Saccharomyces cerevisiae S288C: one gene and its partner. Changing the gene in region 2 together with the main gene of any one other region gives a genetic interaction. Each region holds a gene or a part of one and is shown on either strand. Other genes may lie near its edges.

The links.
Region 1: mutations in PWP1 (region 2) and RMR1 together harm fitness more than expected from each alone (negative genetic interaction), as found in Saccharomyces cerevisiae (one large-scale study listed by BioGRID).

The regions. Positions count from the first base shown.
Region 1 is NC_001139.9:27,858-33,135, reverse strand, and holds RMR1 (Rmr1p), read right to left. Parts: upstream 1,227-5,278; coding exon 501-1,226; downstream 1-500. Other genes in the region: ZIP2 (Zip2p), read right to left, coding at 1-38; HFM1 (DNA helicase), read left to right, coding at 1,500-1,557, 1,710-5,215. UniProt on the Saccharomyces cerevisiae protein: Required for normal levels of gene conversion events during meiosis.
Region 2 is NC_001144.5:539,708-546,733, reverse strand, and holds PWP1 (rRNA-processing protein PWP1), read right to left. Parts: upstream 2,767-7,026; coding exon 1,036-2,766; downstream 1-1,035. Other genes in the region: snoRNP complex protein NOP56, read right to left, coding at 1-637; glycylpeptide N-tetradecanoyltransferase NMT1, read left to right, coding at 3,430-4,797; NCW2 (Ncw2p), read left to right, coding at 5,161-5,925; UPS1 (Ups1p), read left to right, coding at 6,198-6,725.

The DNA.
Region 1 (5,278 bases), on a different chromosome or scaffold from region 2:
CATTTAGATAACTTTACTTCCCAACGTTCAATAATCATAGTATTTTTGTAATATGATCTATTTCTCTAAATTGATTCAATTACTCGAGCTCGTTAACAATGGTGTGGCACTATTGAGTGATTTTCTTCTCCTGAAACATATTTTATGCTTGTATTTTACATATCCTAACAGAAAATACTTTCAGCAATTCTTCCGAAAGTAAAACTTGAAAAAAATTGAAGAAAATGACGAAAAAACAATACAAAACAATAATACAATTCGCTACAAAAAAGGGGGAAGGGCTATCAGAAATCGAATATGGACCTTTGCATCATCCAAAATTAATGAATACTTAACTGCTGACTATACAAACGAAAAAGAAGGCGACCTTAAATATTACACAGAGCCAATAATTTATTCGCGGGAGAAGATTCTCAAAAGGAATCCGTGACTGGGAAATCAGAAACTCACCGTTGGACATCAGGATTTCCCACGATCAGTGCTGATTAAACATGGCTACTTTAGTCTTCAGAATCCTCACCTACGTCATCATCTATGTCCATTACAATGACTTCTGAAGTATTCTGGTGTGTATATTGGTCATTGTCATCCACAATTAAGGGATGCGTTTCATCGTTAGAAAATGGCTTTATGTTTTTCAACGTAGCTGAGCTTTCAGTTAATTCAACCAAGGCGTTGTACCGAGAGACAAATCTTGGCCTTGTACTTAATTCAATAGCCAAGTGCGTCGGTATATCAGTTTCAAAATTAGACTCCGATCTTTCCTTCAGGATTTTAAATATAGTATAAACATCGCTGAATGAAATATGGTTGTTGTAGACATTATCTTCGAACAAGGTCAAATCGAGGCTTTTCAGTTGTAAAACCAACTCCTTCGTAGCAAAAGCCAACCTGCCAAAACGATTTCCCATAAATTTACGAATGGATTCCATGAATTCCCCCATGGGTCGCTGATAAAGAGCAGCGTTTTCACATATTATGGGGTTGTTACTTTCGTTCTTATCATCCGACGTGAACAACAGAAATGTAGTATCTTTATATTCCACGGTGACTTTGGGCAATTCGCTTTTCATTAAAGTCTCTGCCACGTTGCGTATACGGGCGTCCGATGGTTGTTCCTCCACGAGTTCATCATCATACTCCAAAAGGTCTTCTTCATCGCCCTCATCCAATTGAACCCCGACGTCATCCACCTCCACTGTTTTATGCGCTTCTTCTTCACTCATCTTTGATTCCATTGATACCAACAAAAACAATCTTTAACTACGTATCTTTTCCTTTACGTATATATAATTAATCATATATACTTCCCTTTTTTATGCCTTGTTGTAGTTTTAACATATCATGTACCACGAATGGATGCAGGCTCGGCGGGTATTTAGACTTTGCCCCGGATTATAAACAAAACGGGACTATTAGTATCATCTATCAAGAAATCCTTTCATTGAAAATGATTGATACCTCAAGGTGGATTTGACAACTTAAGAGGCGTCGTAAGGATGAAAACAAAGTTTGATCGCCTCGGTACAGGAAAAAGAAGTAGACCCTCTCCAAATAGTAGTAACGAAGCTTAGCAACACCCTTATCAGTTTACACCATATCGGACAACAACAGTATTTTGACTAACATTGTTACCTCTTTCTTTTATTATCTAGCGGAAATGCAACCAAAAGTGGTTTTTCTGGACTAGAATTTCAGAGGACTTATAGATATTGACTTTAACGACCAGTCTGCTACATTTAAAAGAAATAAGAAAAATAGCCGCCAACCAAGTTTTAAAGTAGGTTTGTCTTATAACAGTTTACTGGATGATTGTGATGATGAAAATGAAACAGAGGAAATATTTGAGGGCCGTGGTCTGCAATTCTTCGACAAAGACGATAATTTTTCAATAACAGCAGATGATACACAAGTAACTAGTAAATTATTTGATCACGATTTAGAGCAGACACCTGATGAAGAGGCGAAGAAACCTAAGAAGGTCACGATAAGGAAATCAGCGAAGAAATGTTTGAGCACGACCATATTACCAGATTCATTCAGAGGGGTTTTTAAATTTACAGAATTTAATAAAATGCAATCAGAGGCTTTTCCTAGTATTTATGAGAGTAACGAGAACTGCATAATTTCTTCACCAACCGGATCAGGCAAGACTGTATTATTTGAATTGGCAATATTACGTCTTATAAAGGAAACAAATAGTGATACCAATAACACCAAAATTATATACATCGCGCCAACCAAATCTCTATGTTACGAGATGTACAAGAACTGGTTTCCTTCCTTTGTGAATCTTTCTGTTGGTATGCTTACTAGTGATACCTCTTTTCTGGAAACTGAAAAGGCTAAAAAATGTAACATAATAATTACGACACCAGAAAAATGGGATTTGTTAACAAGAAGATGGTCCGATTACAGCCGATTATTCGAATTGGTCAAACTTGTCCTAGTTGATGAGATTCATACCATAAAGGAGAAAAGAGGAGCATCTTTGGAAGTAATTCTGACAAGGATGAATACAATGTGTCAAAACATTCGGTTTGTTGCTTTAAGTGCAACAGTTCCAAATATAGAAGACCTAGCATTGTGGCTCAAAACTAACAACGAGCTTCCTGCAAATATTCTTTCTTTTGACGAATCGTACAGGCAAGTTCAGTTAACGAAGTTTGTTTATGGGTACTCCTTCAATTGCAAAAATGACTTCCAAAAAGATGCTATATATAATTCCAAATTGATTGAAATAATTGAAAAGCATGCCGATAATCGTCCCGTACTAATATTTTGTCCGACTAGGGCTTCAACTATATCAACAGCAAAATTTTTATTAAATAATCATATTTTTTCAAAAAGTAAGAAAAGATGTAATCATAATCCCTCCGATAAAATATTAAATGAATGTATGCAACAAGGTATCGCTTTCCATCATGCTGGAATTTCTTTAGAAGACCGTACTGCCGTTGAGAAAGAATTTCTTGCAGGTTCAATTAATATATTGTGTTCAACTTCAACGTTAGCTGTTGGTGTGAACCTTCCCGCATATTTGGTCATTATCAAAGGCACCAAAAGTTGGAACTCTTCTGAAATCCAAGAGTATTCAGACCTAGATGTACTGCAAATGATTGGGCGGGCAGGAAGACCTCAATTTGAAACTCACGGGTGCGCAGTAATCATGACAGACTCTAAAATGAAGCAAACATATGAAAACTTAATTCATGGAACTGACGTTTTGGAAAGTTCATTACATTTGAATTTGATCGAGCATTTAGCAGCAGAAACCTCTTTGGAAACTGTATATTCAATTGAAACTGCAGTAAATTGGCTACGAAACACATTCTTTTACGTTAGATTTGGGAAGAATCCAGCTGCATATCAAGAGGTGAACAGATACGTTAGTTTTCATTCCGTTGAAGACTCTCAGATAAATCAATTCTGTCAGTATTTGCTTGACACCTTAGTAAAAGTGAAAATAATCGATATCAGCAATGGGGAGTACAAATCTACAGCGTACGGAAATGCAATGACGCGACATTATATATCCTTTGAGTCGATGAAACAATTCATTAACGCAAAAAAATTTCTATCATTACAAGGGATACTAAATTTACTGGCCACTTCTGAAGAGTTTTCAGTTATGAGGGTGAGGCACAATGAAAAAAAATTGTTCAAAGAAATCAATTTATCGCCACTTTTGAAATATCCATTTTTAACCGAGAAGAAACAGAGCCAAATAATTGACAGGGTTAGTCAAAAGGTTTCTCTTTTGATTCAATATGAGTTAGGTGGGTTAGAATTTCCATCATACGAAGGCGCTTCTAAACTACATCAAACTCTTGTTCAGGATAAATTCCTCGTTTTTAGACATTGTTTTAGATTACTAAAATGCATGGTAGACACATTTATTGAAAAAAGTGATGGAACATCACTGAAAAATACTTTGTTCTTACTGCGAAGCCTGAATGGTCACTGCTGGGAAAACACGCCAATGGTTCTTAGGCAATTGAAAACAATTGGACTAGTTTCAGTAAGAAGGCTAATACGACATGGAATTACCAATCTAGAAGAAATGGGGCATTTGTCAGATACTCAGATTGAATACTATCTTAACCTCAAGATTGGAAACGGCATAAAAATTAAAAACGACATTTCTTTGTTGCCTTGTCTGAATATTAGAACAAAACTAGAAAATTGCAAAATAGAAAATGAAGAGTTGTGGTTGACATTTAAAGTTGAGATTAGTGCAACATTCAAGTCTAGCATTTGGCATGGTCAGCACCTCTCATTAGATATCGAAACCGAGAAAAGCTCAGGAGAGTTAATCGACTTTAGAAGATTGCAAGTTAACAAACTACAGTCACCAAGGGGCTTTAGAATTTCAGCAAAAATATCACCAAAACTAGAAAAAATAGAATTCTCAATTCATTGCCAAGAAATCGCCGGACTCGGCAAAACAATCGTATATTCCACTGATCATTTGGCATCACAGTTCTCTGCGAAGACACCAAATATAAGGAAAGATCTAAATAGTTTAGAAAAATGCCTCTTCTATGAAAGCAGTAGTGACGGAGAAGTGGGGAAAACGTCTAGGGTTTCCCATAAAGATGGATTAGAAGAATCGCTATCCTCAGATGATAGTATACTAGATTATTTGAATGAAAGGAAGAAATCATCAAAGGCGGTTGAATCTGCAGCAGTTATTCACCCGGAGGCACACTCTTCTTCACATTTTAGTAATGGCCGCCAAGTAAGATCTAATGGCAATTACGAGTGTTTTCATAGCTGCAAAGACAAAACGCAATGCAGACATTTATGTTGTAAAGAGGGTATTCCAGTAAAGTATATAAAAGAAAAAGGACCCTCCTCAATCAAGCCAGTATCAAAACCTGATCAAATACGCCAGCCACTGCTTGCAAAAAATATCAACACAACCCCTCACCTGGAAAAAAGACTGAATAGTAAACCAAAGCAGTGGCAAGAAGAAAATACAGATATTGCGACAGTTCATACACTTCCTTCAAAAATTTATAATCTATCGCAACAGATGTCGTCTATGGAAGCGGGTGAACAAGTCCTAAAATCAGGCCCCGAAAACTGCCCTGAAATAATTCCTATTGATCTTGAATCATCCGATAGTTATTCTAGTAATACAGCGGCGAGCTCAATAAGTGATCCGAATGGTGATCTGGATTTCTTGGGTTCCGATATAGAGTTTGAATGAGCGGCATGGCCGGGAACAATAGACATTACTGATATTCATTACCCCAATCCTTTCTGTTATTTG
Region 2 (7,026 bases):
TGTCTGGTACCAATTTAGCCAGTTCGGGGAAATGCCAGCCATACCACTCTTTAACTCTCATAGCAAAAGTGTTGATATCTTTATCTAATTGATCTAATAAAGCAATAGCTTGAATGATGTGATTGTCGTTCTTTTGAACAGAGAACTTCACTTTAGCTCTGGAGTAAGCGTGACCTAAACCTAATTGGGCTCTTTCTAAGTCACCAGATTGTAGACCTTTGAATAATTTTTCGCCATGTAATCTGACACCACGAATCAAATCCTGAGCAAGTTCATTTGAAATACAATCAACATATGGAAATTCTTCCTTAATAGAAGGACCTAAGTTTTTATCGGAAATAGCCAAAGTAATGTTCTTCTTTTTCGAGGAAGCCTTTGGTAAGTTTAAATCCAAGATAGCTTTCAAACTCTCAGAGACTAAACCTTCTGATATGTCGTTAGCATTTTCAAGGGCTTCAGCAGCACCTTTGAATGGCGCGAAAGATACAAGTTCGATTAACTTTGTAAAAGCACCAAAATCATTGATTTGCTCTTGAACTTCTTTTAATCTTGAACCAATGTCATCTTGTTGCAACTTAACCTTGAAAACTGCGTAACCAGTAGGTTCTTCAAACAGTAGGTATTCAATAGGAGCCATCTTTCACTAAATACTGTTCTGCACGCTTCTTCTCCTAGAAATATACCTTCCAAAACACTTTTAATAACTACTTAAAAAACTGTAGACACTACGCAATTGCACAAAATTTTTCATTTCCCATCTCATCACTCAAAAAAATTTCACTTTGAAAAAAAAAAAAAAAGAAAATTTTCACATCGCATTCTACGAGCGTATATATGCCGGGTGATATAAAAAAGTTACACAACTGTAATTCACCACATTGTCATCATATGCTAAATTATACCGTAACAGCACATATTAATGTATTATATTGTTTTTTTCTGAGGCTCCTCTTACACTAGTATACAGTATTATCTTCTATAGATTTTTTATTTGTACTTGCAATGTACTCTGCTTTAATATTTTTCATATCCAGATTATGCCATGTCATCATGCTCATCTCCACCTTCTCTTTCTTCTTCATCTTCACCTTGATCATCAATGGTTATAACAGTATCTGGGTTATCGTTACTGGTGTATTTTCTGGCGATTCTTGAACTTTTTCCTATTTTTTGGGCTTCTTCTTTTGCTCTTGCTTGAACATTCTCTAGTTCACTTTTAAAGCTCTTACGTACAGATCTATTGGTAAAAACGTCCCATAGTTTCAAAACTTTATTGACACCACCAATGACCATGGTACCCGCTACCTCGATGTCTGGAGCGAATGACGATGTCAATACATTTCCGACATCGAAATCACGAGACAGAACCATGCTTGGGCCCTTAGTGTTCGTAGCATCATCCAAGGGGAATTTCCATAATTTGACAGTCTTTTCACCCATGGCCCCTGTACTCATCATACCAGGGATGAATTTGTTTGAACATAATGTGGAGATACCAGCATCGTGTGCCTTCAATGTCCAAACTGGTTTACGGTTTTCATTGTTTCTAATATCGAAAGAATACACATTACCAGAATCAGTACCACATAATATTATATTTTCACTGGCAAATGTAACAGTTTCTATTTCCTCACCTGCCATGGCAGACCAGTATTTACTCATTTGACTTTCGTCAGAAATTCTAACATCTGTTAAAGCTACTCGAGAATCATAACCACCGGTCAAAAGAATGGAACCATTCAACATGTGCCATTCAGATGATGAAACATTTTTGTTTGAATGAATGGAAGCTAAGGAGCGGGCTGCGTTACCTGAGTTCAAATCCCATAGTTTTACGGTATGATCTGCAGAGGTGGATGCTAAAACGGAACGGAAATATTTGTTGTGTGCCATGGATAAAACAGCATCGGTATGATGAGTAGTAATGTGTCCAGTCTTAGACTTCTTCTTCTTCTTTTTGCTTTTCAAAGACACCATTGAATTATCAAGAGGTTCACCCAGAATCATATCGGGAAAGGCCTTGTCAACACAGTCCAAGTTCCAAATTTCAATTTGTGGATCAAACGTACCAATGGCAGCATAATTGGCTGCTTCTTCGGAATTGGATCCAACCTTGTAGTCAAGCCACTCAACACATAGTGGAAAAGCAGGCAACATTAAATCATGGTGAACGTAAAGTGCAGGGTCACGAACCAATCCACGAGCAACATCTGGGTCAGCTTCATCACCTTCTTCAACGGGAATATCGCTACTGTGGAACCCAGCACCGTCATCGTAAACGTAGATATCCAAATACGAAACGTCATCTTCTGTTCTCGCAGCAAGAACTAAATTATCGGATGGGTAAACTTGTAACTCCTGCTTCTCCTCTTGACTATCCTCTTGATTAGGCAATGAAATATATGGATCTTCACCTTTTTCACCCTCATGGAATTTAACATCGCTATCATTACTTAAACCCGGGAACATGGAAACGTCTTTACCACCCTCATTATCTGCAATTTCCTCATCGTCATATTCTTCCAGGTTATATTCTTTCAAATCATCATCTATATCCAACTGATCCTTCAACTTATTAGAACTACCTGTTGCGGCGTCATCTTCAACACCTGATTCGCCTTCTGCTTCTTCCAAAGTAGCTTTAGCATCATCCAAATTCAACTGTGCTAATTGGTTAATTCTTTCCACTTCCTCATCATCCAGAACATACTTTTCAGGAAATTCCGAGGAAAACCCTCTTGGAACCCAATTAGTAGCAGAAATCATTAGTTATTTTGTTTTTTTTATTCGTCTTCTAAGTTTCCAAATAAGGAAGGCGTAATAGACTCAACTGAGGGTACACTTGCTATCGTTTACAAATTAAAACTCTTTGCTTCTTTCAAACTCATCTCAGCTCATCGAGACAAATTTTTCACTTCTTTTTTTCGAGGGCGAGAAAATTTATTACCCGACTGGATATAATATATATAGAATAATACATATGATCAACTCAAGGTAGGGCCTATGGAAAAGTTTTACAACGGACAAGGCAATTAAATTGAATTGCACGATTCTCTAATTTTTTATTCTTGCAGATTTGTTTCATGATAAATTCGCCAGTTAGAGTTCTTATTATGGGTGGGTAAGAATTCAGTTAACGTTTAAAATTCTCAATATTAATCGCAAAGTGGAAAGCAAAGCAAAGTCTCACTAGAAATTGCAGGCGGACTATGTATAATTACGTAATAGTAGTTCTTGCAACAGAGGATCCTTTCGACTCTTTTGAAAGGATACTGTCATAAAACAATAGGATAAAATAATTTCAGCCGTTGCTCATGATAAAAGTAATTCACTATAATTGAAGATGATATGTGTTGCACGCTTTTTAGAGAATGATCTGTACAATAGCTCTGGTTGTCATAGAGCTTCGGTAGTAAACGTATTTATAGAATGTCAGAAGAGGATAAAGCGAAAAAATTAGAGAATTTATTGAAGTTATTACAGTTGAATAATGACGATACTTCAAAATTCACTCAAGAACAGAAAAAAGCTATGAAAGACCACAAATTCTGGAGAACGCAACCGGTCAAAGATTTCGATGAAAAGGTGGTGGAAGAAGGCCCCATTGATAAGCCAAAGACACCGGAAGATATATCTGACAAGCCACTACCTTTATTGTCTAGCTTCGAATGGTGTAGTATTGATGTGGACAACAAAAAACAGCTTGAAGATGTTTTCGTTCTACTAAATGAAAACTACGTGGAAGACCGCGATGCAGGCTTCAGATTTAACTATACCAAAGAATTCTTCAATTGGGCTTTAAAGAGTCCAGGTTGGAAGAAGGATTGGCATATTGGTGTTCGCGTTAAAGAAACACAGAAATTAGTTGCCTTTATCTCAGCCATACCAGTAACACTTGGTGTTAGAGGTAAACAAGTGCCTAGTGTAGAAATCAATTTCTTGTGCGTTCACAAACAGCTAAGATCGAAGAGATTAACACCTGTTCTAATTAAAGAAATTACGAGACGAGTGAACAAATGTGACATCTGGCATGCATTGTACACGGCAGGTATTGTTTTGCCAGCACCTGTGAGTACGTGTCGTTATACTCATCGTCCCTTGAATTGGAAGAAACTTTATGAAGTAGATTTCACAGGGTTACCAGATGGGCACACAGAGGAGGATATGATTGCTGAGAATGCGTTACCGGCCAAAACAAAGACAGCGGGATTGAGAAAATTAAAGAAGGAAGATATTGACCAAGTTTTTGAGTTGTTCAAAAGATATCAATCCAGGTTCGAACTAATTCAAATTTTCACAAAAGAAGAATTCGAACATAATTTCATTGGTGAAGAATCGTTACCATTGGATAAACAAGTAATTTTCTCATATGTAGTCGAACAGCCCGATGGAAAAATTACAGACTTCTTCTCATTTTACTCATTGCCATTCACAATCCTAAATAACACAAAATATAAGGACCTAGGCATCGGGTACTTGTATTATTATGCCACCGATGCAGATTTCCAATTCAAAGACAGGTTTGATCCAAAAGCTACTAAGGCTTTGAAAACAAGATTGTGTGAATTGATTTATGACGCTTGTATTTTGGCCAAAAACGCTAATATGGATGTTTTTAACGCGTTGACTTCGCAAGATAATACATTGTTCTTGGATGATTTGAAGTTCGGGCCCGGTGACGGGTTCTTGAACTTCTATTTATTTAATTATAGAGCAAAGCCGATTACCGGTGGCTTGAATCCCGACAATAGTAACGACATTAAAAGGCGTAGCAATGTCGGTGTTGTTATGTTGTAGTGGCTGAAAGGACGAGGCGTATATAGTTTTCGTGTACATAGCCGACAGAATTTGACCACATTTAGTTTTTCCGCATAGTCAATTGACGAAGTGAAAAAATAATTAATCCAATGGCTGGCTTTAGAGTGTCAGCCTCCAAAATAAATCCAAAAATAGACAAAGAGAATCACTATAATTACCGCCTTGGAGTCCAAGTTGGCTTGAGAACTCGCATTTATTTTTAGCGACTGAGGTAGCTGAAAAACGCCTACTTTCTCAGAAGGCGGTAGTGAGCATATATAAGTATGTAAGAAAGATCAACTCTTCTGGACTAGATACTCACCGATCTAGTGAAAATATAAACAAACCCAACATATATATAAAATGAAGGCCTGTTCCATATTATTTACCACCTTAATTACTCTAGCCGCTGCTCAAAAAGACTCTGGTTCCTTAGATGGCCAGAACTCTGAAGATAGCTCACAAAAGGAAAGCTCAAACTCTCAAGAGATCACACCTACCACGACAAAGGAAGCCCAAGAAAGCGCATCAACTGTAGTTTCTACCGGAAAAAGCTTAGTACAAACTAGCAACGTCGTCAGCAACACCTATGCTGTGGCTCCAAGTACCACCGTAGTGACGACGGATGCACAAGGCAAAACCACGACACAGTACCTATGGTGGGTGGCCGAAAGCAACTCTGCCGTAAGCACAACTTCAACTGCCTCTGTGCAGCCCACCGGAGAGACGTCAAGCGGAATCACCAACTCCGCATCCTCCTCAACGACATCAACATCAACGGACGGGCCAGTTACTATAGTAACTACCACGAATTCGTTAGGTGAGACTTACACATCTACTGTTTGGTGGCTACCGTCCTCAGCCACAACTGACAACACGGCTTCATCAAGTAAATCATCTTCGGGATCCTCATCAAAACCGGAATCAAGCACCAAGGTAGTAAGCACTATCAAATCAACTTATACCACTACGTCAGGTTCTACAGTAGAGACACTGACCACTACATACAAGTCTACAGTCAACGGTAAGGTAGCGTCCGTAATGTCCAATTCTACCAATGGCGCCTTTGCCGGCACTCACATAGCTTATGGTGCGGGTGCATTCGCCGTTGGTGCCCTTTTGTTATAGAATGTATAATCAGTTCTGTATACCACCACATAGTTCTGCATTTTAATAAAACTCTTTCTTTTTATACACTGTAGGTAACCAATAATATAACTATTGTTATCATCGTGCTTGCGTATTTTTTTTCTTTCGGGTGAAAAACTCCGCAGTATTTCTCGCTCTCCCTGGATAATAAGCTAGAAAAAAAAAATATATATGACAGATGGATGAGTAATCATATTCAATAAGTATTGTCTGGCTTCTGAGACGGCGGTAAGATATCCTTAAGAGTTGCAATGGTCCTTTTACACAAAAGCACACATATATTTCCTACCGATTTTGCCTCTGTTTCACGCGCCTTTTTTAATAGATACCCCAATCCATACTCCCCCCATGTACTATCCATAGACACAATATCAAGGAACGTTGATCAAGAAGGAAATTTGCGCACAACGAGGCTGTTGAAAAAGTCCGGAAAGCTGCCCACATGGGTCAAACCCTTTTTAAGAGGTATAACAGAAACATGGATAATCGAAGTTTCCGTAGTGAACCCCGCTAACTCCACAATGAAAACTTACACTAGGAATCTGGATCACACTGGAATCATGAAGGTTGAAGAATATACTACCTATCAATTTGACAGTGCTACAAGTAGTACGATAGCAGACAGCCGGGTGAAGTTTTCAAGTGGCTTCAATATGGGTATCAAATCTAAGGTAGAGGATTGGTCGCGCACTAAATTTGACGAAAACGTTAAGAAAAGCAGAATGGGCATGGCATTTGTTATCCAAAAACTCGAAGAGGCGAGAAATCCTCAGTTTTGATGTTCCCATTTAAAGATCTTTAAAGATATCACCATGGGCGAGCGAAATTGAGAAAACTAGTGCAGCTCGCATTTGGTCACGTCCTAAAAATTGTAAATAAGCGCTGGTTCAACAAAATTTAATATACACACATATATAATTATTTATTTATAACAGTCATTCTGCTAAACTATACATCAAATGTCACTAATCTTGATATTATGGTCGTCCCTGTATCATATTAGACGAACACACCTGTTTTTGGGCATTTTCCGAATTTTTTTTTCATGCTAGCTAAGTCAGAAGTACTACATTAAAGAAT